3 linked regions of the Lonchura striata genome follow. The protein of the gene in region 2 interacts with the protein of the main gene of each other region in a pairwise test. Links are inferred from orthologs where the notes say so. Each region holds a gene or a part of one and is shown on either strand. Other genes may lie near its edges.

Region 1 (7,634 bases), on a different chromosome or scaffold from region 2:
ACCATCTCCTGACAGATGCAGCAGATCAGCTCCGACTCCACCAGACAGGTGCATTTAGGGATTGGCTCTGCTCTGCACAAGGAGAGTGGGTCACTGCTTGGAGGGAATACCTGGAGAATGGCAGGACCTGAGCAGAAGTCCAGGCTGATCCCACCTTTGGTATTTTTGGAGGTTGGGCCACCTTCCCTTGGCACAGGGGTGATTTTTCCCTCTTTCTGAGTGCAGTTCTCCTTCCAGCTCCTTCCCTCAACCTCCATCCAAGGGAGGTGGGGAAGAGAATGCAGGGCTCTGCTCCCTGGAGCAGCCTCTGCCATCAAACAGCCCATTTTGCCAAGTCCAGGGCAGTTCTCACCTTTTCTCGCTTTTCTTTGTCGCTGTTCTCATCCAGCAGGATCTCAAACATCTTCTGCACCCTCGAGTCCGTGGAGAACTGAATGCGCAGCTGTGCCAAGAGAGAGAGCACAGAGCATCAGGAGGAGAAAATCGAGGAGCAGCTTTCCTTTTTCACTTCAAGAATACTCCCTGCCCTCAAACCACAGGCAATTTAAGCTGAATAACAGGAGATAGAATTTCTCAGCAATCAGTATCCATTACCCATCTCAGGGGCACAGGCAGAGCCAGCCCTAAGGCTTAATTTCTGAGACTTCACAGTAGGTAGCGATGCAAGGATTTCTTCACAGCGCCCCTCTAAAGGCAACTCTAGCAATGTGGCAACTGCCAGACCCAGCCCAAAGTTGGTCCAGACCCTTGCCAAGACCTTTGCAAGACACTCAGAACCAGGCCAGCCTCAGGAGAGAGTTGCCACACTTTTAAATTTAACCAATCAACCCAATCCTCAGATTTACACACATCAATTATGAACTTCCAGTCAATGGAGCCTATTTATCACCTTATATTGGCCACGAGTTTCCAGTATGACCAACAACCCATTGATGCAACCCAGAGCAAGGATTTCCCACCCCTGGTCTGTGAATCCAGCACTGTTCCCCTGGCATTTACCTTCTCCTGGATGTTGGCCCCCAGTCTCCTCAGGGTCTCCTGGAAGTTTTTGTTGCGGGGTTCGAGGGTGGCACATTTCTGAGCATCTTTGAATGCTTGGTCTAACTTCCCCAGTTTTTCCAGGGCTTGGCTGCGCCGGTACAAGGCTTTGATATCTGAAGCATTGATGTCAATAGCTGGGAAAGGGATCCAAAACACCAGGCATCAGAGCTTGTTGCTTGGAAATGGCCTGTGCAAACTGTGATTTGCTTTGTTATTAGCATCAATCAGTGCCTCATTAGCACTGATTGCACCAGCACACCAAATCAGAACATCATTTGAACTTCCAGGAATTCCCTTGTGGCCTCAGCACTTGGCTGTTAGTGGACATCAAGGAATAAGGCCACAATGTCCCAAAAGCAGATGTGAGAGCAGGCTGAGGAAATGGATCCAGCTCTCCTCATAACAACCCCCTCCTTACCTCTAGATGCATCCGAGGCTGCCTTGGCATATTCCTCCTGTTAAACCAGAAAGGAGAGATTTGTTAGCCATGCAATAGCAGGGCATGTCCCCATTGCTGATGGGCATTGGGACCTCTCTGTTCCCATTTCCCAGGGGGACACCCCAGTGAAGCTCCAGCACAAGCCCAGAACATTTCATTTCAGACCAGCTGGAAACACCCTATTCAATAAATGGACAAACCACCCAGTCCACAGCCAGTGAGTGCCCTTGGCTGCCCTCCTGCTCTTCTCCCCTTGAGCACTGCCCAGGTGAGGGGAGCTTTTCTCACCTTTTTGAGGAAACAGGCTGCCCTGTTCCTGTACAGCACCGCCTGCAGAGCCTTGTCCTTGTTGAGCTTTATGGCTTGAGTGTAGCTTTGAAGGGCTTTCTCATAATCATTGGCCTGAAAATATTTATTGCCCTCCTCTTTCAGCTGAATGGGATCCTCCATCTGGAGAGCTTGAAGGAAAAAACATCCATTTGTGTCCCATTTGCCTGGGTTGCCTGCTAATCCCCCAAGCTGAGTTCCACCATGAGACTGACACATAATTAACACACATTAATAAAAGCAGCTTACCAAGCCAAAGAGTTTTGAAAATGAAGACCTAAATTGCTCCTCAAGGCTGTGACTTCTCAGAAGCTTTTTCCACCAATATAAATCCTTAGAAGTAAATTAAAAAAGAAAGAAAGAAAGAAAGAAAGAAAGAAAAACAACAACAAAAAAAGGAATTAAAGAAATCTGCCAGCACTACGGAGAGTCTGTGTGGCTCAGGACAGAGCTCACTTCCCACTCCAAGTTTGGGCAGGACCTGGCAGCTCCTGCTGCCTGTCAGTGTCACTTGTCACCACAGCCTGTCCCCTCCTTGTCCCCTCGTGCTTTATACGCCTGAGGAGGGCTGGGAGCCAGGGCCAGCTCGGGGGGCACCTGGCTGCAAGCAGGCAGCACCCCTCTGCAGCAAGAGGGAATCCTCTCCCACCTGCCAGGGCAAATCCCAGCTCCCCTCTGCCTGCAGAGCTGCAAAGGGTGTGGGGAGCAGGAAGGGGGAGGTTCACGCCAAAAAAACCCACGGCTGGGATGGCTGACCCCTGTCACAGTGCTCAGACCCTTTTCCCATTCTATTTAGGGAAGCATGAGACAGCTGAGCCTCAGGGACAAGTGGCCCCAGGCCAGCAGCTGCAGCAGTGCCCAGCACCTTCCAGAATTCCCTGGGATGGAAAGCTGACTGACACCCAGCGCTGCCTCCTCCTCCTCCTCCTTGCAGGGCATTTGGGAGCCCATCCCACTGGAAATCCCACCCCAGTCTGGTGCTGCCACCCACCCCACACGTGGTCATTCAGCCACACTTGAGGTGGGCTAACACAGAGGACTGGGCTGGAACATACTGGAAGTGCTGTGAGGAGTGGCTCAATTTGAGTGGCACCAGGAGACAGCAGCACTGAACTCCAAGAGAGCTGAACCTTTCAACCCACTCTGTTCCCCAGGAATTCTGCTTTTTGATTTATCTTCCCCTAAACACAGGCCTTGCCTTCACCTGCCAGCATCCCAGCTATAAAGCAAAGTGGGGACTGCCAGGATGGGGAAATGACTGAGGAGAGCATGGGCTGATCCAGACACTGCCACGAGCAAAAATATCATTGTCTTTAATTGTGTTATCTGTGTTATGGCTTGTGGCTCTTATGCAGAAAGAATTAGCACAGAACTTCCCTGTCCAGGCCTCCTGTTTTATTCACCCCACACCAGCAGCACTGCCTGGTCCCTGGTGTACAGGCAGGAGGCGATTCCAAATCCATTTGTAAATCCTTTCACAGCAAAGCATCAACCACAACTGCAGGCAGCTTCATCAAGAGCAGCTCCCACATCTATACCTGTTGGAGAACAGGTCCAAGGTACAAGGACAACATCTGTGGAAAGTGTAAGATGCCATCCCTGCCCTGGACAGACTCAGTGCAGTGGCTTTTCCAGCATTCATTTGGATTAACACACCAGAAACTCCTTCCAACATGGCTTTAGGTACTGGCCTTTCTCACGTCAGCCAGAGTACAGCTCCATTGCCACAAGCGGCATGGCCACAAGCGGCAGCACTGCAGGCAAACCGAGTTACAAAATCAAATGTTGGGTGCAGCCGCTGCTCGAGGCAGAGCTGGGACTGCAGGGCAGGCTCAGCAGCGAGTGCCGAGAGCCCTCTTCAGGCCTCGGCTGGAAGGAAAAACATAATTATAATAAATACCCCCAAAAATAGTTTTCCCAGGAGAAATTCAAGCCTCCAGGGCAGCCAGGGAGGGACACATAGCTCCCAACACCTGTATGGCAGCAAAGTCCCCAGCCCTTCGTTCGCCTTCATTTCCCAGCGAGCAGCACTGCCTGATGAGCCGGGACAAAGCCAGTCCCGGGAGTGTCACAGAGTCAGCATGGTTTGGGTGGCAAGGGACCTTAGCGCTGTGCTGATCCCGGCGAGAGCAGGGGAACCGGAGCGGGGTGGGACAGCCGGGCCGGGGAAAGGGAACCCCGGCGGGATGGGAGAGCCGGGACAAGGAACAGAAACCCCGGCGGGATGGGAGAGCCTGGATGGGAAAAGGAAACCCCGGTGGGATGGGAGAGCCGGGCCGGGGAAAGGAAACCCCGGCGGGATGGGAGAGCCTGGATGGGAAAAGACAACCTTAGCGGAATGGGAGAGCTGGGACGGGGAAAGGAAAAAGGAAACCCCAGCGGGATGGGAGAGTCGGGATGGGGAAAGGGAACCGGAGCGGGATGGGAGAAACGGGACGGGGAAAGGAAACTCTAGCGAAACGGGAGAGCCGGGACAAGGAAGACAAACCCTAGCGGGATGGCACAACCGGGCTGGGAAAAGGAAACCCCGGCGGGATGGGAGAGCCGGGACAAGGAACAGAAACCCCGGCGGGATGGGAGAACCGGGACAAGGAAGGGAACATCGGCGGGATGGAAGAGCCGGGCTGGGAAAAGGAAACCCCGGTGAGATGGGAGAGCCGGGACAAGGAAGAGAAACCCCGGCGGGATGGGAGCACCGGGACAAGGAAGGGAACCCCGGCGGGATGGGAGAGCCGGGACAAGGAAGGGAACCCCGGCGGGATGGGAGAACCGGCACGGGAAAAGGAGCGGCCCCGGCCTTTCCGCCGGCGGCAGGAAGCAGGAAGGAGCGGGCAGGGCTGCGGGGAGCCCGGGCCGGGTAAGCTCCGTGGGGCTCCGATGGAGGCGGCTCGGGATGGAGGCGGCTCGGGATGGAGGCGGCTCGGGATGGACGGTCCTCTTGTCCCGGGATGGAGCCTCCCCGCCTGCTGTGCTTCCCTGCTCCCAGCCCCGTGCAGGATTTTGGGCTGTTTGGCCCCAAAGAAGAATTAATTACCCACCGTAACCACCCATCCCAAACACAGCTTGGGTGGCTTCTCCCCGGCTTCAGGGGCAGGCGCCATCCGTGGCTCAGTGTTGGACCTGGCGGTGCAGGGTTGGAGTTGATGATCTTGGATGTCTTTTCCAGCCTTAATGATTCCATGAATCCCACTCCCCCTCTCCTCCGCAGGTCTCTGCTCTTCTCCCTCCCGGTGGCGATGGTGGTCCTGCGGGCTGGGCTCTGCCCTGGTCTCTCTGAAGACATGATCCAGCTTCTCAGCGCCAATGGCATCAGGACAGGTAACAGCGTGGCATCGGGGTCTCGGCTTGGGGAACATCATCCCCCGTGCATTTGGTGGACCTGTGTCCTCCCACATCCTGGGAGGGTGGTGGTGGAATATCCTTCTGTGTCCTCCTTGCTGGATTTCTTCTGGGTCCTCCTGGGTGGATACTGTGAGTGAGGACTTATTCAAAGGAGCAGGAGAGTGTAAGGACGTGGTAAGAGATACCTGCAGAGGCTCTTTGAGGAGTGATAATTTGTGGCTTTTTTTTGTGGTATTTCAGGAGGGTTTGTGCAGTTTTTCCTCTGAAAAATGCCCAACTTCTTGGAATGCTGTACCCTGGGCACCTCCTGCCCTTAGAGGAGAAAGAAAAGGTGCTGGGCAGCTCTTGAGCAAAACGGGGACAATTTTTACCAGCTTCTCTCTCTGCTCTGTTTCACAAGAAACAATTTATTTTGTGATGAGTGATGGGGCCATCTCAGAGGAAAAACTCCTCCACTCACAGTGTTGACAGAGGGCACAGCCTCTTTGCTTGTTGGTGCAGGTTTTGTCTAAGCTGGTTGTCTTCTGGTGTTTGTGGTCTGACCATGTTTGGCTTCCAACCTCTTGTCCCTTATGTTATTTGCAGTGGTGGACTTCGTGTCATCAGACCTGGAGGATGTTGCCCAAAAGTGTTCCCTGTCTTACAAGGTAGAAGGGACTACTCCTCACTCCTGGTACATAAACCAGGGAGCTCAGAGCTGTTTGGCTCATGGACAAGGATGGGCTTGTCTGGGAGCCCTTCTGGAGCACTTGCTGGCTGTTGATCAGTCCCATTTCCAGACATCCCTCTGCCCCCAGGCGCTGGTCGCAGTCAGACGTGTGCTCCTGGCCCAGTTCTCTGCCTTCCCTGCCAACGGAGCAGACCTCTACGAGGAGCTCAAGAGCTCCACTGCCATCCTGCCCACTGGCAGCTCAAGGTGGGGACCTCACCCACCCACCAGCTCTGTCTGGGGCTGGGTTTGCTGCACAAGGCTGTGGTTGCCAGCACAAGCTTTGAATTTTGTTCTCCAAACCATCCCCGTGCACCTATGTGCATTTGGGAAGGCGACTTTGAGGACAAATATCTGGGGACTGCTGCCTCCTGATGCTCCTGCCATTCTGGCTGAAGGGGTGTTGGTAATCCCACCTTGTGTCCATCCCACAGCCTGGACCAGCTGCTGGACTCGGGGCTGTACACAGGGGAAGTGATGGAGCTCATGGGAGCACCAGGCACTGGGAAGACGCAGGTGAGCGGGGTGGAGGACAGAGGAGAGGACAGGTAGGGTGAAGATGTCCCACAGAGGGACACGTGAGGCTGGCTGACACCCTGTCCCTGTTCCCCCAGGTGTGCCTGGGCATTGCAGCCAGTGTGTCCCTGGGGCTCAAGCAGCATGTTTTGTTTCTCGACTCCACGGGGGGTTTCACTGCCTCCCGTCTCTACCAGATGCTCCAAGCCCAGACAGAGGATGAGGAAGAACAGGCAAGTTCCCCTGGAGCTGGTTCCTCTGCTTGCTCTGAAACTCACTTTGCTTTTGCCTGCAAGAAACCCCAGAGATGGTTTGTCTTTCCAGCTCTGCCTTTGTCCTCATGGGCTTTTTTGAGTCCAAACCCTTCCTTCCATGGCCCAGTGGGTGCCATGCTCAGGACAGACTCTGCTCTTTGTTGTTTTTCTTGGGAGAAGGGAAGGACTTACAGGACTCGCAGGACTTTGCTCCCTGAGCTCAGTACATGTTGCTTTTCCATCAGTGCCATGGGGGCAATGGTGCTAATGGGGTGGAGGCAAATGTGGAGGAATGTGGCATGGTGTGAGTGCAGAGAGCTTGGGGCAGCTGGGGCAGGAGGAATAGGCCAAATCCTGGGGGGACTGAGGCTGTGTTTTGTGCTGCAGCTGGAGGCCCTGCAGCGGGTCAGGGTAGAACGTGTGTTCAACATCTACGAGGTGCTGCGTGCCTTGCAGGAGCTGCGGGATCGCCTCTCCCAGCAGGTAGGAGTGAGCCTTGGGGCCCCTCTCCCCTCCCCAGAGCTGCAGGGAGGGCAGCAGGGCTTGTGTGTGCCTGACAGGTGACTCCAGATTGCCTCATCCTGGGGATGTCGGAGCCTCTGTGCAGCTCACAGCCTCCAGAGCTGCTGGATTTGTGACTCCACGTTGCACCTGGTGCCTCCTTGCAGGTCGTGAGCTCCATGGGACCTCTCAAGGTGGTGGTTCTGGACTCGGTGTCGGCTGTGATTTACCCTCTGCTGGGTGGCAGGCAGTCAGAGGGTGAGCTGCTCACTGTGGGAGCTGCTCCTGGAATGGGGATTGGAACAGGGTAGATGTGGATGTGACTGCTCCCAGCTTTTCCCTTGGGACTGGATAAAAGGGGGGGGCCTGTTGCAGTGTTAGCAGCAAACACTTCAGCTGGCTGTGGCTGCTTGTGGCAATGGTCTAAAACTCATCCAGGGAGGCACTGGACTCTGCCCACAAATTAAAACTTAACAGTGACAGAAATATATCATGGCACAGTTTG
Region 2 (7,749 bases):
TGGCATCTCCTCAGCGTTCCCTGGACTGGGTCCCACTGGTGCTAGCAGGTCAGGAACAAACCCCTCGCAGGAAACAGGGAAATAAAGGAAAGCAGAAAAGAACAATTTCACATCCAGGAATGGAAATGACTCAGGGGCATTAAAATGCAGGGAAGATGAGAACGAGGAGGGTCCTGGCCCTGTTTTCAGCCACATTTTTCCCCTCTCAAAATTCCTAAGAAGGGGCTCTGTGAAGATGCCTGTGGCACCACTTCCCAGAGTGTATGATTGATGAAGAACTGTGGCAGGAGTCTCTGGAGTGGGGATGTGCCCTGGGTTATCTGTATGGGATCTATAGATCAGCTGCAGAAGAGGAAAGAACCCAGGAGAATGTGGAGGAGAGGGAGCAGGAGCACTCCAAATTTCTGTGATCCTTACTTGGGGCAGATCCAGCATGCCCCTGGAAAAAAGGGGAATCTCAGGGATCTGACTCTGGGAGAGACACCTGAGGTGTGGAGGAGCTGGCTGTCCCCAGAGAGATGGGACAGGTGGGAACAGTGCTGCATTCATCTCTTGGGGATGTCCCCAAAAGCTTCTTTCAGATGGGATCAGTCCTGGTCCCCTCATTGCTCCAGCTGTGTCCCCACCAAGCCTACCAAGGTTTTCCCCTGGGTGGAGAGAGATATTTCCATTCCTTCCTCCACTGAGGAAGAGCCATATCAGTCACAAAGCAGCAACAGGATTAGGGGATTTGGCACAACCAGGAGCATCCCAATCCCACCCATGCCCTGCCCAGTCACATTGAGGTGTTCCCTCTTGGAGTTTTGGGAAGGGAATTTGCTCTGTTGCACAGCAGCACTCCAGGTCACACATTTCCAGGGGGATCAGACCTGGGACAACCCAAAATGATGCAGATTTCAGAGAGAGGACAGGGAAGATGAGCTGGCCTCAGGCCTGGCAGCTTGTGGGGGTATCTCCAGGAGGATAGGATCCCTCTGGGTGGGATGGTGGGAGCAGAGCAAGGGCTGGGGTGCTGCCTTGGCTACCTGTCCCTGGGGATGCAGTTCCCTTTGGAGGCAGCCTGGGCAATCCTGGCACTGGGAAACAGCATTTGTGCAATTCCTTGACCTCCAGCTCCTGGTTGCACTTTGAATCCAGAGTTCGGGACAGAAGCAGGTACCAGGAGGAAGCTTTATCAGGAAGATTGCCATGGAGAGGTTTGAGGGGTTCAGCATGGTCACGGGACACTGCCAGTGGGGCTCACTGGTCACGGGATGCTGTCACCACTGTCACCATCTCCCCAGGAGATGTGCTGAGGCTGCAAACCTCCTCTCCATCCCAGGCACCCACCTCTGCCCACAATGCCCCAGTTTTCCAGGCTCAGCACGGCTGAGGGCTGAGGCATTTTGGGAGCCTGAAGACAGCCGAGGTGATCTCATCCCACGAGTATTTTCTTGGCTCCCTCTCCTCGCTCCAACGCCTCGGCGATAAGGCTGGGCTGAGGTCAGTGGGAGGGTCTGGCATTGCGGAGCCGTGTGTCACCCCGCGGAGCCTGGGACACGGCACCGGAGCCTGGGACACGGCACCGGAGCCTGGGACACGGCACCGGAGCCTGGGACACGGCACCTGCACCTCCCTGGCTCCAGCCAGACACCGAGTCCCCACCCCAGCCTCCAGGATGCTCCACCTGGGAAGAGGGTCCGTGCAGGCAGCCAAAGGTGCCCCCACCACTGCCCACAGGTCCAGCTGCTGTTGTTTCACCTTCTCCTGGGGAAAACAAAAAGGTTGAGGCTTTTCGTACCTCCAGTATTAGAAAGAAGGAGAGGGAACTCTTCAGATCACTTTCCAAAGGGGTCTTATCAGCCCAGGAGGGGTTTCCTGCTGCCAGGAATAGAGCGGTGTTAAGATAGGAAGGGAAGGATGACACAAACATAGATAAAGCTGGGGGACGAGCCAGGAGAAGAATCCTGGCTGCTGGGGCAGCTGGGCTGCTCCCTTGGAGCTCAGGTAGGAGCCCCATCCACCTGGGAAAGAGCAGGGCAGAACCACAGCTAGGTCCTTTCGGAAATGCCACTGCTGGGCTTGGTATATTGGAGTGGTGCATCATCCATCCATCCATCCATCCATTCATCCATCCATCCATCCATCCATCATCCATCCCCATGGTGCTGGGCCTGGGCCCGTGTTTCCAGACTCTGCATGTTCCTGGGGACACAGGGACAAGTGCTGTGCTCTCATCTCCTCCCCACATGAAACTAGACCCTCACTGGGTCTTCAGGGTGCCAATTCCCACATTTCAGCCTTCATCCATGAGGATTTGACTTGTCACTAGGAAAACTGGGCTGGAAAACCTGTTTCTTGAACTTCCAGGTGCTCCTCTTCCTCCAAGTACCGACTCCATCTCTCTGCATTTTCTTTCCATGCTCCCCTGCCTTTGAGTCTGGTACCTGCTGCACATGGGAGATTTATTTATTTCCCCATTTTTTGGGAGATAACCCAGAGGTAGTGAGTTGTGCCTGCAGCCTGTGCCTGCTATTGCACCCTGGGTGCCCCAGGGGTGATACCAGCGTGTGATGGAGCAGGAAAACAAGGAGATGAGGCTGGAGATCCCCACATCCCTCTCCCCACATCATCCTCCCGGCTCTGTGCCAGTCAGAAGATGCCGAGTTCCCTCAAAAGAATGGGAGCTTAATGTCCCGGAGCTAATAAGCAATTTTCCCCTGCACCTGCCTCTCCCCGCTGCCTCCCCTCCGGCCATCTGCTGTCTCGGGGCCTCTGGACTCTGCACTGACAGCCTGGGGCGCCCGGGGCTGAGACGGGGCTGGTGTTTCACTGCTCTGGGGCTGGGGGTGCTCAGTGTCCCCCCAGAGATAAACCGGGGTGGGTTGAAGGGGGAATTCGGCCCCTGATGGTCTCCTCCATCCCTGTGTCCCCCCAGGGAGGTGGGTGGCAGAGCCCAACAGGGGAAACTGAGGCTGGGAGAGCAGCAGGGGCACCCAGACACGAGCTGGCAGGAATTGCTGCATCCACAGCGAGCTGGCAACCCCAGCCGGGGGGGTGTGAGGATGGAGGACACAGGAGGGAGGAATGCAAGGAGGGAGATGTGAAGAGGAGATGCAAGGAGGGGGAAGGTGAGGAGGGGGGATGAGAGATGGGGGATGCAAGAAGTGGGATGTGAAATACGAAGAGGGGGACATAAGGAGGGGGATGTGAGGGAGGGGGATGTGAGGAGGAAGACACGAGGAGGAATGTGAGGTGGAGAATGAGAGGACAGGGGTGTGGGGGGGGGGGATGTGAAGGGGGGGATGTGAGAAGGAGGATGTAAGGAGAGGGACACGAGGAAGGGGGATGAGAGGAGGGGGGATAAGAGGAGGGGAGATGAGAGGACACAGAATGCGAGGCGAGGGGGATGCGAAAAGGGAGAATGTAAAGAGAGGGGTGCGAGAAGGGGGGGCCCGAGGGGGCAGAGCAGATGGGGCCAGCAGGCTCGGGGTTGCCCCGGCCCCGCAGACAAAGGCTGGGGCAGATTTACGGCCCGGGACAGCTGGCGGGCAGAGCCGCCCCCCCGCCCGCAGCTGCCGCTCCCGCTCCCGGCCGCGCTCCTGCGCCGGCGGCGGCCCCGGGGCGGAGCGGGGCGGGACCGGCCCCACATTCCGGGCATAGCAAAGCCCGGCCCGGCCCCCGCGGCTCCGGGACGCTCAGAGCCGCCGCAGCACCGCTCCGCTCCGCCATGCCCCGGTGAGTTCTGCCGCCGGGACCCCCCGGCGCCGGGAACTCCCCAGCACCGGGACCCCCCTGACCGGCACCGGGACCCCCCGAGCGGCATCGGGACCCGCCAGCACCGGGAATCCCCCGGTACTGCCGCCCAACCCCCCCCGGCACAGGGAACCCCTTAGCATTGGGACGCCCCCGACTGGGATCGGGACCCCCGACCGGCACTGGGGTGCCCGGATACGGAGAGGCCCCTCGGGGAAAGGACGCTCCCCCGGCACCGGGAATCCCCCAGCAGGGATCGGGACCTCTCTCGGCAGCGGGACCCACCCGGACCAACAATCCCGGGACCGAGACCCCCTTGGACCGAGATCCTCCCGGCCGAGACTGGGACACCCCTCTGGGGCTGGGATTCTTCGACCGGGATCGACCCCCCCTGGCCCAAGGAAGCCCCCAGTCGGGACTGGGATCCCTTCACGGGAGCCGGGACCCTTCTCCCTGGGATCGGGACTCACCCCCCCCGGCACCTGGACCCTCCCGGGGAAGACCCTCTCCCATACCGGATCCACCCCCAGGGACTGGGAACACTCCTGGAACTCTCCCAAACGGGACAGGAACATCCCCACGGCACTTAGAGCACCCCCCCTTGCCCCACAGAAAAGTCCCAGGACCCTCACCGAGACTGGGACACCTCTGCAAGTCCAGGACCTCCATGTCCGGGTCTGGGGATGGGGTGGTCCCACCCATCTCCCGGTGGCTCTGTGCCCGGTCCCGTGGGGCTTTATCCCCCACTCCCGGGCCAGTGCCAGTCCCGGCTCCATGGGGCACCGGCTCTGGAGGCAGCCCCGGCCCCGGGCTCGCTGACAGTGCCGGTGCTCGGCCACCCCAGTGCGGGGGCTGCTCCGCTCTCCCGCTGCCGCCACGGGCTCCCACCCCTCCGGCACGTCCGGGCCGCATTCCTGGCAAACAATCCCGTGTCCATCAGGATCCGGACTCTCCTGCCCCGACTGCTTCGCAACAACCCCGCTTCTCCCTCTTGCAGGTGTCTCGGCGTGCCCAGTTGCTGTTGAGGTCCCGCGGGACGCCCCTCCCGGGTGGAAAGGTGGCTCTGCCGGCGGCACGGACGGACATGAGGACGGCGGAGGACTCGAACGGGACGGTGCTGCACCGCCTGATCCAGGAGCAGCTGCGCTATGGGAATCTCACGGAGAACCGCACTCTGCTGGCCATCCAGCAGCAGGCTCTGCGCGGCGGCGGCGCCGGGAGCCCCCGCTCCTCGCTGGAGAGCCTCAGCCCGGAGGAGAGCCAGATGGTGCAGCAATCCACGCGGCAGGAGCCGCAGGGCCAGGAGCATCACTCCGACCACGTCTACTTGGAGAACAGCGTCTATCGGCTCTGCCCGCCCAAGGGCGAGGAGCTCCCCAGCTACGAGGAGGCCAAGGCGCATTCCCAGCTGCTGGCCTCGCAGCGGGGAGCGGCGGGCGCGGGGCTCCGGTTCGAGCCCGGTCCGCGCGGGGCCGACAGCGGCGCCCGGCGCCCCGACGAGGCGCTCAAGGAGCTGAAGCACGGCCACGTGCGGTCCCTGAGCGAGCGGCTCATGCGGATGTCGCTGGAGAGGAACGGGGCCAAGGCGCAGAGCCCCATCAGCGCTTCCCACAGCTTCCCGCAGCTCTCCCGGCAGCTCGTCCCCCTGCGCGGGCAGCACCCCGAGGGCACGGAGCCGCGGGGACCGCCCCCGGAGTATCCCTACGTCATCCCTTCCCAGGACGCTTACCTGGCTGAGCCCCGACCCTGCTCCCGGGAAGGTCCTGGATTTCAGCATCCTGAGATCAGGTAAACTCTGGCCCCTGGGCTCTGCTTTTGGATGCCTCCCAGGAATGTCCAGGATGGATGTTTGGAACTTGCAGGATGCGAAGGGCAGTGGGGGCCCAGAGCAGCTGCTTTTGTCCTCACTGGCACAGGCCATGGGGGGTCTGCCGGGAGCACCCTACTCTGCTCCTGTCCCCAGCTCCCCCAGCACGGCTGGGCTTTTCCAACCAGTGACGAAAATCCCATTCCCACAGCAGACCCTGCCTCATCCCCATGCACCAGGAAGGAGCTGGGGGTAACTTAAGGGATAATCTAGGAGCTGGAAGCAGCCCAGGAAACAGATAAATGTGGAATAGGTATGGGGCAGGGTGGAAAACAAATATGGTCCCTGCTCCACATGTCATGTCATGGTCCTGAGCTGGGAATGTCCATGTAACTTGGAATTGCTGCTGAGCAGAGCCTGGGCTGGTGCCAGGTGGTCTGTGGTTCCTTTGGCAGCTCAATACCTCTGGCAACGCTCCAGGGTGACTGTGAGATGGACATCTTGTGGTCCAGACATTACCTAGAATTTGAGAAGGACTGGAAACAGCCTCTTCCATTGTGGAAAATGATGGGAAGAAGGGAACTGGTGGCTCAATGTGAGGACACACTGCTCCCAGCCCTGCTGATCTATCCAGGCAGAGAGTGATAGCATCTCCAGCAGGAAAACCTTCTCCTTCCAGGGAACAAAGAGGGGAAGGGGAGCTGCGAGGAAGATGTATTTATTCTTCCTTGCTCCTATATCATCCCGCAGGAATGCGGGCCCTTGGCGGGCAGCCCGCAGGGGAGCACAGCGGGGCCGGGCCGTGCACAGCCACCCTGCTCAGGGTATTCCAGGCAGGATGTTGAGGTGGGATGCTGCAGCAGTGGCACAAGGGGCAGCCAGGCTGGCCTGGCTCCTCCAAATATAAAAAGGATGCATCCATGGTTTGGCAGTGAGGACCTATGTCAGGAATCTTTGCTTTGCATAGAAAATAAGGAAAAGGCTGGCTTCCAAGGTGCATCCTATGCCAGGCTGCCTGCAGCATTGCCAGGAGGAGAGGGACCTGGGGGGTTGGGAGCCCATCCAGACCCACTGCCCAGGTCCTGGAGGGGTCAGGTCAATGCATCCCTGCACGATGGGATTTGTGATTAGAGAGCGAGCGCTTCCCAGTTCTAAAAAAGCAGGATAGGCACTTCCACCTCCTTCGAGATGACTTGGAGGCACTGGCACGTGCTCGATGGCATGCTGGAGCTGCAGCCAGCCCTCCCACCCTGCCAAACCTTGACTCGCCCTCCTCGCTCTCTGCAGGGTGCTGCCCACCTCGGTGCCGGCCGCGTTCCTGCCGCTGTGTCCGGGCGCGCTGGGTCCGGCCGGCGTGGAGGCCCTGGTCAGCGCCCAGGCGGTGTCGGCCGGCAGCCGCCTGGCCCGGGCAGACGCCGTCCTGCGGGAGAACGAGAGGCTCCAGCGGGAGAGCGAGAAGCTGCGGCGGGAGCTGGAGAGCTGTGCCGAGAAGGCGAGCCGCATCCAGAAGGTGAGGGAGTGGTGGCAGCTTCCCGTGTCCCTCCTGCCCGGGGCGATGCTCGACCAGCTGCCGTGAAAATTCACCCCCTTTAGTGATTTAATCCTTTCTCCTCCTCCCTCTGGCGGCTTGTTCCCCTCGGAGCAGCTGCAGCACGGCAGCCGGGATTGGGGAGAAGGAGCCCATTCTCCAGTGACCCTCTCCCTCCGCCTGTCCCCCCATCCCGGCCGCCACAGAAAGCCCTTTGTGTGGCCGCGTACAAGGGGCGGCTGTTCCCCGTGGCTGGGCTATGGCAGAGCCAAAATCCGTGGAGAGACTCTTCCATAAGAGAAAAGCCCGAAAAAATCAGTTTTCCCCCCCAAAACATGTGCTGGGGGCCTACTCGGGGTGCACTGAGCAGCTCAGTTTGGGCTGAGCACCCTGGCTGGGCTTTGGCTGGCATCTCCCTTTCCTCATTCCATGAATATCTAACCCTGGCTTGTCCCTTCCTCCACCCCAGCTGGAGAGCGAGATCCAGCGCATCTCAGAGGATTATGAAAATCTTGTCAAGGCGTCTTCCAAGCGGGAAGCCTTGGAGAAAGCCATGAGGAACAAGAGGGATTGTGAGATGCGACGGCTGCAGGATTTCAACCGAGACCTGAAAGGTGAGGGGACCCTTTGTGTCCACATCCCCATGGGTGCTCTGTGTCCCTCAGCTGTTTCCATGGGA
Region 3 (7,974 bases), on a different chromosome or scaffold from region 2:
AAAGATAGCCCATTCTTCTTGCCATTGCTTCCAAACCCATTCCATGCACAGCACTGAACTCCGTAATTATGGCTGGTGGCTCTGAAAATAAATACTCCTCTAAACATTTGGCCACAAGAGCGATGCAACTAAATTTCCTGTTGATATAGGGCCAGTAAAGTGGATACTTATGAGACATTTCCTTATGTAATGCGTAAGTTTTATTCTCTCGTTCAAGCTCCGCACGGATTCTCCCGCGGTGCTCACACGGCAGGGCTGGAGGCAGCTCCGTTCCGAAGGCCGGTGGTGGCCTCTAGTGACAACCAGGTAGATCCGCACGGAGCCCGCTGCCTGTCCCCGCTCCTGCCGCTCCTCCGGGGCTCCTGCGGCTGGGGAACAGCTTCTACCGGGACATTTCTGCTGCGGTGTTTGTGCAGTGAACGAAATTAGCAGTGCCAGACTCCCTCCAGGGGAGTATGCAGACGGATTTTCGGCCCGTTTCCTTTCTTTTGCTTTTTTGGTATCTGCTTTCCTGACACAGATCTTGATGCTGGGAGGGTATTTTGGGTTGTAAGCAGCCCATAGCTTGTTCCTGGTTGTACAAACCCCGGGAGTGGGGATGCTGTGGGATCGCTGGGATGCACTGAAAGGATGATATTCCAGAGAAGTCCCCAAACAAGAAGCTGCAGCTACCCAGGCACTCCTGGCATTATGAGTGTAATTTTACCCTGGGGAAAAAATTGAGTTTTTCTTCTGATTTGGGGGCTCAAGGTGTGACACAAGTGAGATCCCCAGAACCACAATTTTTTTTTTTTTAAGTAAGCAAAAAATCTACACGGATATGAACATGTGCAATACAGTGTGGTTGTACATATCTTTTACAGTGTACAATCAGTGTGTACCTATTTGCACAGGGCCGTGAAAATTGTATTTGCCTCCTGAATCACAGAAGTATGCAATATTTTTCATGGATACTGAACTACTCCAGCATTATGGAACTGAGAGAGTCAGTAGGATGGTATTCTCTCCAGTTCACTGGTTTTCTCTTTCCCTTGATACTTCAGTTGCACAGGGTTTTTCCAAGGGAGAGAGCTCTGCCAGCAGTCCTGTGTTGGAGTTGATCTTAATGGCACTTTTGGGGAAGAAAAAAGAGAAGGTTCGTTTGTGTGGCCTGGAGCTGTTTTTGTTGGCACTGAGATCTGATTCTGTTCAAGGAGAGCAGCTGAGACAGGAAAGGCAGCTCCTGACTTTCATTTTCCACCTGTGGCTGGGGAGGGATGGAACCCACACACTGCCTCATGCACCACTCCAGGAGCTGGAACACCTCTCTAAGTACCATAAATATGTAATGTTTTAACTTACCCCTCTGGTCAAAGCTCCAAGCAGAAAGAAATAAGATGTAGTGGTTTGATGACTGAGATATTTTCATTGGACAAAAGATAAAACGGAGAGGGAAATGAGGGGAAAAAAATACGTGAGGCAGACAGTGTAAGATCTTGAACTGCAAATGTTCAGGGCCTAGGTGAATCCAGCTGAGTTGGTGACATCATCCAGAACTTTCTCTCCTCTGATCCCATTCAACAAAACACAAAATACCTTGCTTTGCTCTTTGGAGAGAGCAGGCTTCACAGGCATTGGCATTAACAAGAGATGTAAGGGTAGTTAAGAAAAGAAGGAGGGGAATATCTCAGACCCAGAAATATTGAATACTGGAATAAGGCTGGAACACTGAAAACAGAATGCTTCTCCCCTGAGAGCAGTTTGCATAGCAATGTCCTTTCAGGACTGTAGCGTAGCTCTTTCAGAATCAAACCCTTATGATATTAAACCCAAACACAGGGGTTAACAGGGACCAGCAAAAGGGTGCTAGATTTCACTCCTAGAATGGATCATCTCTACTGACTGAACTAGAAGACTTTGCTTTATTTCAGTCTCTATGTCAGCCAAAAGAAAAGCATCTGTTCCACCTAAAGGCAGCAAAAATGCAGACCCATAGCTGGGTGTGTCTTTTTTCCTTGAACTCTCCAGACTGGTTGCCCATGGCTGGTTAGCACAGGTGAGTCAGATGGAATGGCATCCACATTATCAGAGCCCTGCAGAACTTATCTCCATGGCCTTCTAATGCACATTAAACTTCTGTCACACAGGTGACATTTCTTCATTAAATCAAACAAATCATTAGTGTTGCTATAAATGTTTTATTACATTTATAGGCAATCCACTCTGACCAAGGACAACACTGAAGGGAAGTGCTACCTGTGAACACACAGATTGTGCTTTACAGCTCCCACAAATGAGTCTGGAGCTGAAACTGCTCTGCTGAGCTAAGCACCAGCAAACTGTTACAGCACTTCTTCAATGCTGACCAAAATTGCAGTACTGGACAATGTATTTTTAGGTTGCCCAACATCTCTTTAGATAACTTAATCTTACAACCAAAAAAATAAAAAAATAAATAAAAATGAGGCAGCCATGTTCTTGCAGAAAATTCCTGGGCATAGTCCAGGAGTGGAGGACGCTGAGGCCACTCCCAGCTGACGCCTTGAGGAGCCCCTCACCCTCCAGCCCGGCTGGGGCCTCGTCCTCCTCCCACTGCCATGGCTGCAGCTGCAGGGCTCCCTCTGGCAGTTTCCACTGATTGATACAACCAGTCAAGATACATCTCACGGAAAAAAGTGTACTGAACCAAAACCAGGAGCAAACCCCACCTCTGATGTTGATCTATCCTGATCCTAGCAAGTATTCTTGCAAATATTCTGGCTTTTTGGGGAGGAAATGATAAGGCCAGAGAAATTGTCCGTGAACAATTGAGGGATGAGAATAAAAAGAACACTAAGAAAATTCAGCTTTGTATCTTTTCACGTTGGGTTTGCATGATGCCATTGCTCCTTGCTTCCTCTTGCATGCATCTTGGATGCTTCTGCTGAACAGTCCATAGGAAAATAATTGCTGGAGATTCAGCTTCTAAAAAAGCAGCAGAGTCATAACACAAGGCAAATGTCTGACCTAAGCCTGATGGTCACCTTCATTCAGATCACTGACTTCTTTTTTTCATTTGTTCACATAATAAAAAGAAATAGAACCTCCAAATTATGTTTAAAACAATATCACCCAGGTAACATGGAAACTAATTTTAATACTGAGAAGAAAAAGCAGAATGTTTGCTCTTAAACAGACTGCCACACAATCCTGCAGAGATCTAGGCAGTGAGATACAGAGCCAAGGAATGTAAGACCAGCAGGATCTCTTCTGTACTCCTCTTACAGTCGAAAGATGTAGAGTCTGCTCTACTAAAATGAGCAATTCTTACTCAGCCTGAATAATTTCAATGGAAAAATGACAACCCACCCTAAGTCTCTGTAGTGACACGCCAAATGTCATGGCCACTGTACTTTGGTATCATATCTCATAAATGTTTTTTTATTACAAGTTACACCCAAAGAAGTTCAAGGTTCAAAGACACTCCACAGCATCCTCTTGGAAAGAAAAATCCTGCCCTGCACACTGATTGCTTTGGTTTGGAAGCTGTGTTTCCAGAACAGCCAAATATAAGAGTTTAACTCTCTCTCGAGTCAAGACCAGTTAGATTAATGCCTAGCATAGTAACTTTAAAAACTTGGCAGTACTGATTCCCTAATATATTGGGTATTCCCTAATACCAAACTATTCTGGTTTGGGTGCTCTCCAATACACGTTTCAATGCCTCCAAAGCTCTGTGTCTCACCAATTTCCTTGCCCCAAGCTGGAATATCAGTAGGTACAGCAGCTGCTCTCACTAACACAAGCCATGTGTGTTCATTGTTCTACCTGAAAACATCAGTAGCACACATAAGCACTGTCAGTGCAATGCCCCAGGAGCTGCACCTCCTGCCACCCACTCTCCTGCACCACTAACAACCCCTCAGCAATCAGGTTTTTCCTTTGCTTTACAAATTCTCCATGCACTTTCTGCATCAAGGGTACTCCACAGTTAGCTCAGGAGCATCCTCCACACGATCAGCAGCAGGATGGTTGAGTCTCTTCATGCCATGGAAAGGCAGCTGGTTTCCTGTTAATGACCACAGCCCCTGGGCTGGGGACAGACCCCCCAGCATGGTACTTGTTAGCTGATGGTCTCTGATGAGGCAGGAGGGAAACTTGTTTTGCTTCAACTTCAGCCACACTGGAGGGCTGGAGGGTCGTTCTACTGGAAGCTGGAACTTAACACTTCCTGCCAATCTATGGACCTCAGCATTTCACATGTGAAACAGTGGGCTGTGAAGGCTTCCAATATTCTCATTCCTCCTACCTTATTTAAATAAATATTCTTTCCACTCAATCTCAGCTGTACTGAAAGCTCAAATTCAACTTGCAATGGTTTTCTTATACCAGACAAATGTATATTCAATCCAAGCTGATGGCAATAGCCTCCACTCTTCACTGACAGTGCAGATGTTGGTTTGTGCTCACTATGAAATGAATTCACATGGTAGTACAGCTGCCTCCTTTCTAATAATATATACACTGTTCTAGAATGTCCTGAGGCCCAAGTTATTGCTTACTCAACAGAAATATAAATATTTTAAGTCTCTTTTCACATATAAGCAACTCTCATTTTAAATTCATGCACTGCATAGGGGGATAAGAACCTACTCATTTGTTTCAAAGGGCTACAGAGAGGGTTGGCTGCAGGTACATGGTTATAAATTATTCAACAGATCATTTTTTGTTTATCTGTTATACAAAATAACAAAGCAAGCAAACTACCCAGGGAGTGTTCCTCAAACACAGACGAACAGATGAGAACCCCTTCAAATTATGGGGAGGGGGGGGGCAATATCCTGTGTGCTCTTTGTACTGATATCAGTGACACTCTGCGTCAACATAGGTGGGGTTTCCAGCCATTGTGCTTCCTCTTGGACCTGTATAAAGGTGCACAGTGCACACTCAGCTCCTGACTGGCATCTCAATCTGTGCTGATTTACCTGCTTCAGTCTAGAAGACAAAGAGCACAAATGGCATTCTCCACCCGCAGCATCCAGTGGAGTACGAGCAGCCGTGTCCAGCCCTCTGCACCCAGTGTCAGTAGTGTGACCTCCAGGAAAATGTCCATCCAGAAGATCCAGGCACCCAGTGTCTATGGGGGAGCTGGGGGCTATGGCACCCACATATCAACCAGCACCAGCTCTGGCCAAGGCCTCAGAGGGAGCCTCCAGCTCAGCATCACTGGGAGCGATGTGCTGCTCGCTGGCAATGAAAAATCAACGATGCAAAACCTGAACGATCGCTTGGCTGCGTACCTGGAGAGGGTGCGCTCACTGGAGAAGTCAAACTCCCTGATTGAGAGGCAGATCAGGGAATGGTATGAAAAGAACACCACAAGCATAGGGCAGGACTACAGCTCCTACTTCAAAACAATTGATGAACTCCGAAACAAGGTAAGAGGTCATAAAGCCCTCCATAAATATAGGAATTGCAATTATCAGTGAGATAGAGAATAATCTGTTGTAGAAAATGTACTTTTCCAAATTCGCCTAGCTGGGAAGAAGTTTATTTTTGATCAGCTACATATTAGTGACAGATTTTAGATAATTTGTAATACCAGTAATTATTCATAATATGCCTGCAGTTGTGAGCAATCTCATACCTGAAAAAATCTGTGACTCAAAATTAACTAGTTCTATGATATTTGCCTTAGGTGGCTTTAATTAGAGAAAGTACTAATGGTAATCTACATATTCAAATATATTTTAGCAACAGTCTATTTCAAAGTGGTTTATTAGAAAAGAAGGGCAAGCACTCAGAAAAAAATTAAAGACCACCACTTAAAATAGTAAATTACCACTGGAAACAATGAAATATTCCAAACACTCAACTGACATGTTTGTCAAATCATGTTTCCAGAACTTTCTTCAGTCTTTTCCCTTTTATTTTTTATCAGTTCTACTTCCCAGCATTTAAAAGCAGATACCTTCAGAGAACAGTTCATCCCAACTATTCAATACACTTATTTTATAGCAGGACAATTTGTCTTTTGGACATCCCTAATTCCTTTCATGCACTTCAGATGGAACTTAGCTTAAAGCCAGCGGACCAACAGACAGCTGAAGTGAAGGAGGATGAAGCCTACTTACAGTATTCATTCCCAGGAAAGGATCAAGTGTGAATTTCTGTGCAAAGTTTCATTGCTTATCCACCATTCCCTTTAGATTTCTGCTGCCCAGATGGAAAATTCCAGACTTGTCCTGCAGATCGACAATGCCAAGCTGGCTGCTGATGACTTTAGGCTGAAGTAAGTTCCATGATTTTATATCAATTCTCTTTCATGATCCTCTTATTTAGGAAAGCTTCCACTTATTGGAATCAGTGACAAGAAGTGAACATTTTCCAACTTTAAGTTTAATATGACTGTGGTTACTGATTCTAGAAGCGGTTACTGATTCTAACATTTACTCCAAAGTGTTGCATTCCAATGATGACAAAAGGCACTGTATTGTACAGGTTTGAGAATGAACACCTGCTCAGGCAGAGTGTGGAGAGCGACATCACTGGACTGCTCCGTGTCCGTGACGACCTGACTCTGACCCAAGCTGACCTGGAGTCCCAGATTGAGAGCATAACCGAGGAGCTCGTTTTCCTTAGGAAGAACCACGAGGAGGTGAGAGCAGCTGACCACAGCCAGGGAGAGGGGCTTTGTGTGGCAAACACAAGCAAGCTCACTAGGAAGCATTTCTATCCTTTCTGGAAGCAGCATTACCATGTGTGACCCAAAGGGACATTCAAGCTATCAGGCATCAAAGGCTGAACACTCCTCCATTCCAGGAATGAAGGAGTAAAGGTTTTCTCTAAGAAAAATTTATGGTTCAGGAATTGCTACCCCAAAAAGTACACAAATGGGAACCATGACTTCTGTCCTCATTCCACAGATTTGTTCTGAGGAAATCATTTTTATGATACATTTATCTATGGTATAACATTTATTGCTATCAAGTAAGTGAACTGTTCTGCGAGGTGCACTAAACAGTATTTACAAGGTGATTAAATTGTCTTGCCCCAAGATACTATTAAGGATTAGTCCTATGTGTGTAGATGTTGAGTTTGTGCCCAATGCCCAGGAGTGAGAGCTCCCTGCAGCAGGTGCTAACACAGTCCCCATTGCTGCAGGACCGTGACAGGCTGCGCAAAGAGGCGGGCGGCTCTGTGAACGTGGCGGTGGATGCTGCTCCCGGCATTGATCTCGCTGCTATTATGGAAAACATGAGAAAGCAATATGAAGAAATGGCAGAAAAGAACCGCCAAGAAGCCAAAGAACATTTTGAAAAGCAGGTAAAGTCCACTGCTTAAACACCAGCAAGAACATTGGTCATGCCTGGCTGCAGTTCACAGTCCCTCTATTCCTCATTCCAGACAGCAGAACTGAACCAGGAAGTTGCCCTCAATGTTGAGCGGCTGGAGGTCCAAAGGAAAGAGATCACGGAACGGAGACAGGTCCTCCAGAACCTGGAGCTGGAATTACAGTCCCTGCTGACCATGGTAAATAACAAAAAGCAAGATAAGGACTGTAGATATCAGAGAGTTACATAGAGGTGTAATAAACAGAGGATAAAAAGATAAATAGAGGAATCAATCAAAATGTTATTTACAATCAAAATGAATAATATGTCAATGAACATGTCACTGTTCTTCCCATGCACTATAGAAACAGACCCTGGAAGGCACTCTGGCTGAAACGGAATCACGGTACAGCTACCAGCTTGACCAGATACAGGCAGCAATTTCCAGTCTGGAGGCTCAGCTGAGGCTGCTCCGAGCTGACATGGAGGCTCAGAACAGTGAGTACAGCATCCTGCTGGATGTCAAGACTCGCTTGGAGATGGAGATCGCTACATACCGCCGGCTGCTGGAGGGAGAGGAAAGCGGGTGAGCACACACATGGCTTTGCGTGTTGGTTTGGGGTGAGCACACACATGGCTTTGCGTGTTGGTTTGGGTTTCGTGTCAAATCTGCCTCTCTCCA

Evidence for each region.
Region 1: the proteins of AMOTL2 (region 2) and RAD51D interact in binary tests that used the Homo sapiens proteins (3 or more experiments, as listed by UniProt). The two-hybrid records come from large-scale screens. The link is inferred for Lonchura striata from reciprocal best matches to the Homo sapiens genes AMOTL2 and RAD51D.
Region 3: the proteins of AMOTL2 (region 2) and keratin, type I cytoskeletal 20 interact in binary tests that used the Homo sapiens proteins (3 or more experiments, as listed by UniProt). The two-hybrid records come from large-scale screens. The link is inferred for Lonchura striata from reciprocal best matches to the Homo sapiens genes AMOTL2 and KRT20.

The regions. Positions count from the first base shown.
Region 1 is NC_134622.1:6,004,106-6,011,739, forward strand, and holds the start of RAD51D (DNA repair protein RAD51 homolog 4), read left to right. Parts: upstream 1-4,633; 5' UTR 4,634-4,664; intron 4,665-5,015; 5' UTR 5,016-5,043; coding exon 5,044-5,125; intron 5,126-5,734; coding exon 5,735-5,796; intron 5,797-5,946; coding exon 5,947-6,065; intron 6,066-6,292; coding exon 6,293-6,374; intron 6,375-6,472; coding exon 6,473-6,607; intron 6,608-7,015; coding exon 7,016-7,111; intron 7,112-7,296; coding exon 7,297-7,387; intron 7,388-7,634. Other genes in the region: UNC45B (protein unc-45 homolog B), read right to left, coding at 353-442, 1,000-1,175, 1,460-1,496, 1,769-1,930. UniProt on the Homo sapiens protein: Involved in the homologous recombination repair (HRR) pathway of double-stranded DNA breaks arising during DNA replication or induced by DNA-damaging agents. Bind to single-stranded DNA (ssDNA) and has DNA-dependent ATPase activity.
Region 2 is NC_134612.1:5,558,348-5,566,096, reverse strand, and holds the start of AMOTL2 (angiomotin-like protein 2), read left to right. Parts: upstream 1-4,737; 5' UTR 4,738-4,819; coding exon 4,820-5,523; intron 5,524-6,829; coding exon 6,830-7,052; intron 7,053-7,539; coding exon 7,540-7,684; intron 7,685-7,749. UniProt on the Homo sapiens protein: Regulates the translocation of phosphorylated SRC to peripheral cell-matrix adhesion sites. Required for proper architecture of actin filaments.
Region 3 is NC_134627.1:6,792,122-6,800,095, forward strand, and holds the start of keratin, type I cytoskeletal 20, read left to right. Parts: upstream 1-4,973; coding exon 4,974-5,396; intron 5,397-6,167; coding exon 6,168-6,250; intron 6,251-6,459; coding exon 6,460-6,616; intron 6,617-7,122; coding exon 7,123-7,284; intron 7,285-7,365; coding exon 7,366-7,491; intron 7,492-7,657; coding exon 7,658-7,878; intron 7,879-7,974. UniProt on the Homo sapiens protein: Plays a significant role in maintaining keratin filament organization in intestinal epithelia. When phosphorylated, plays a role in the secretion of mucin in the small intestine.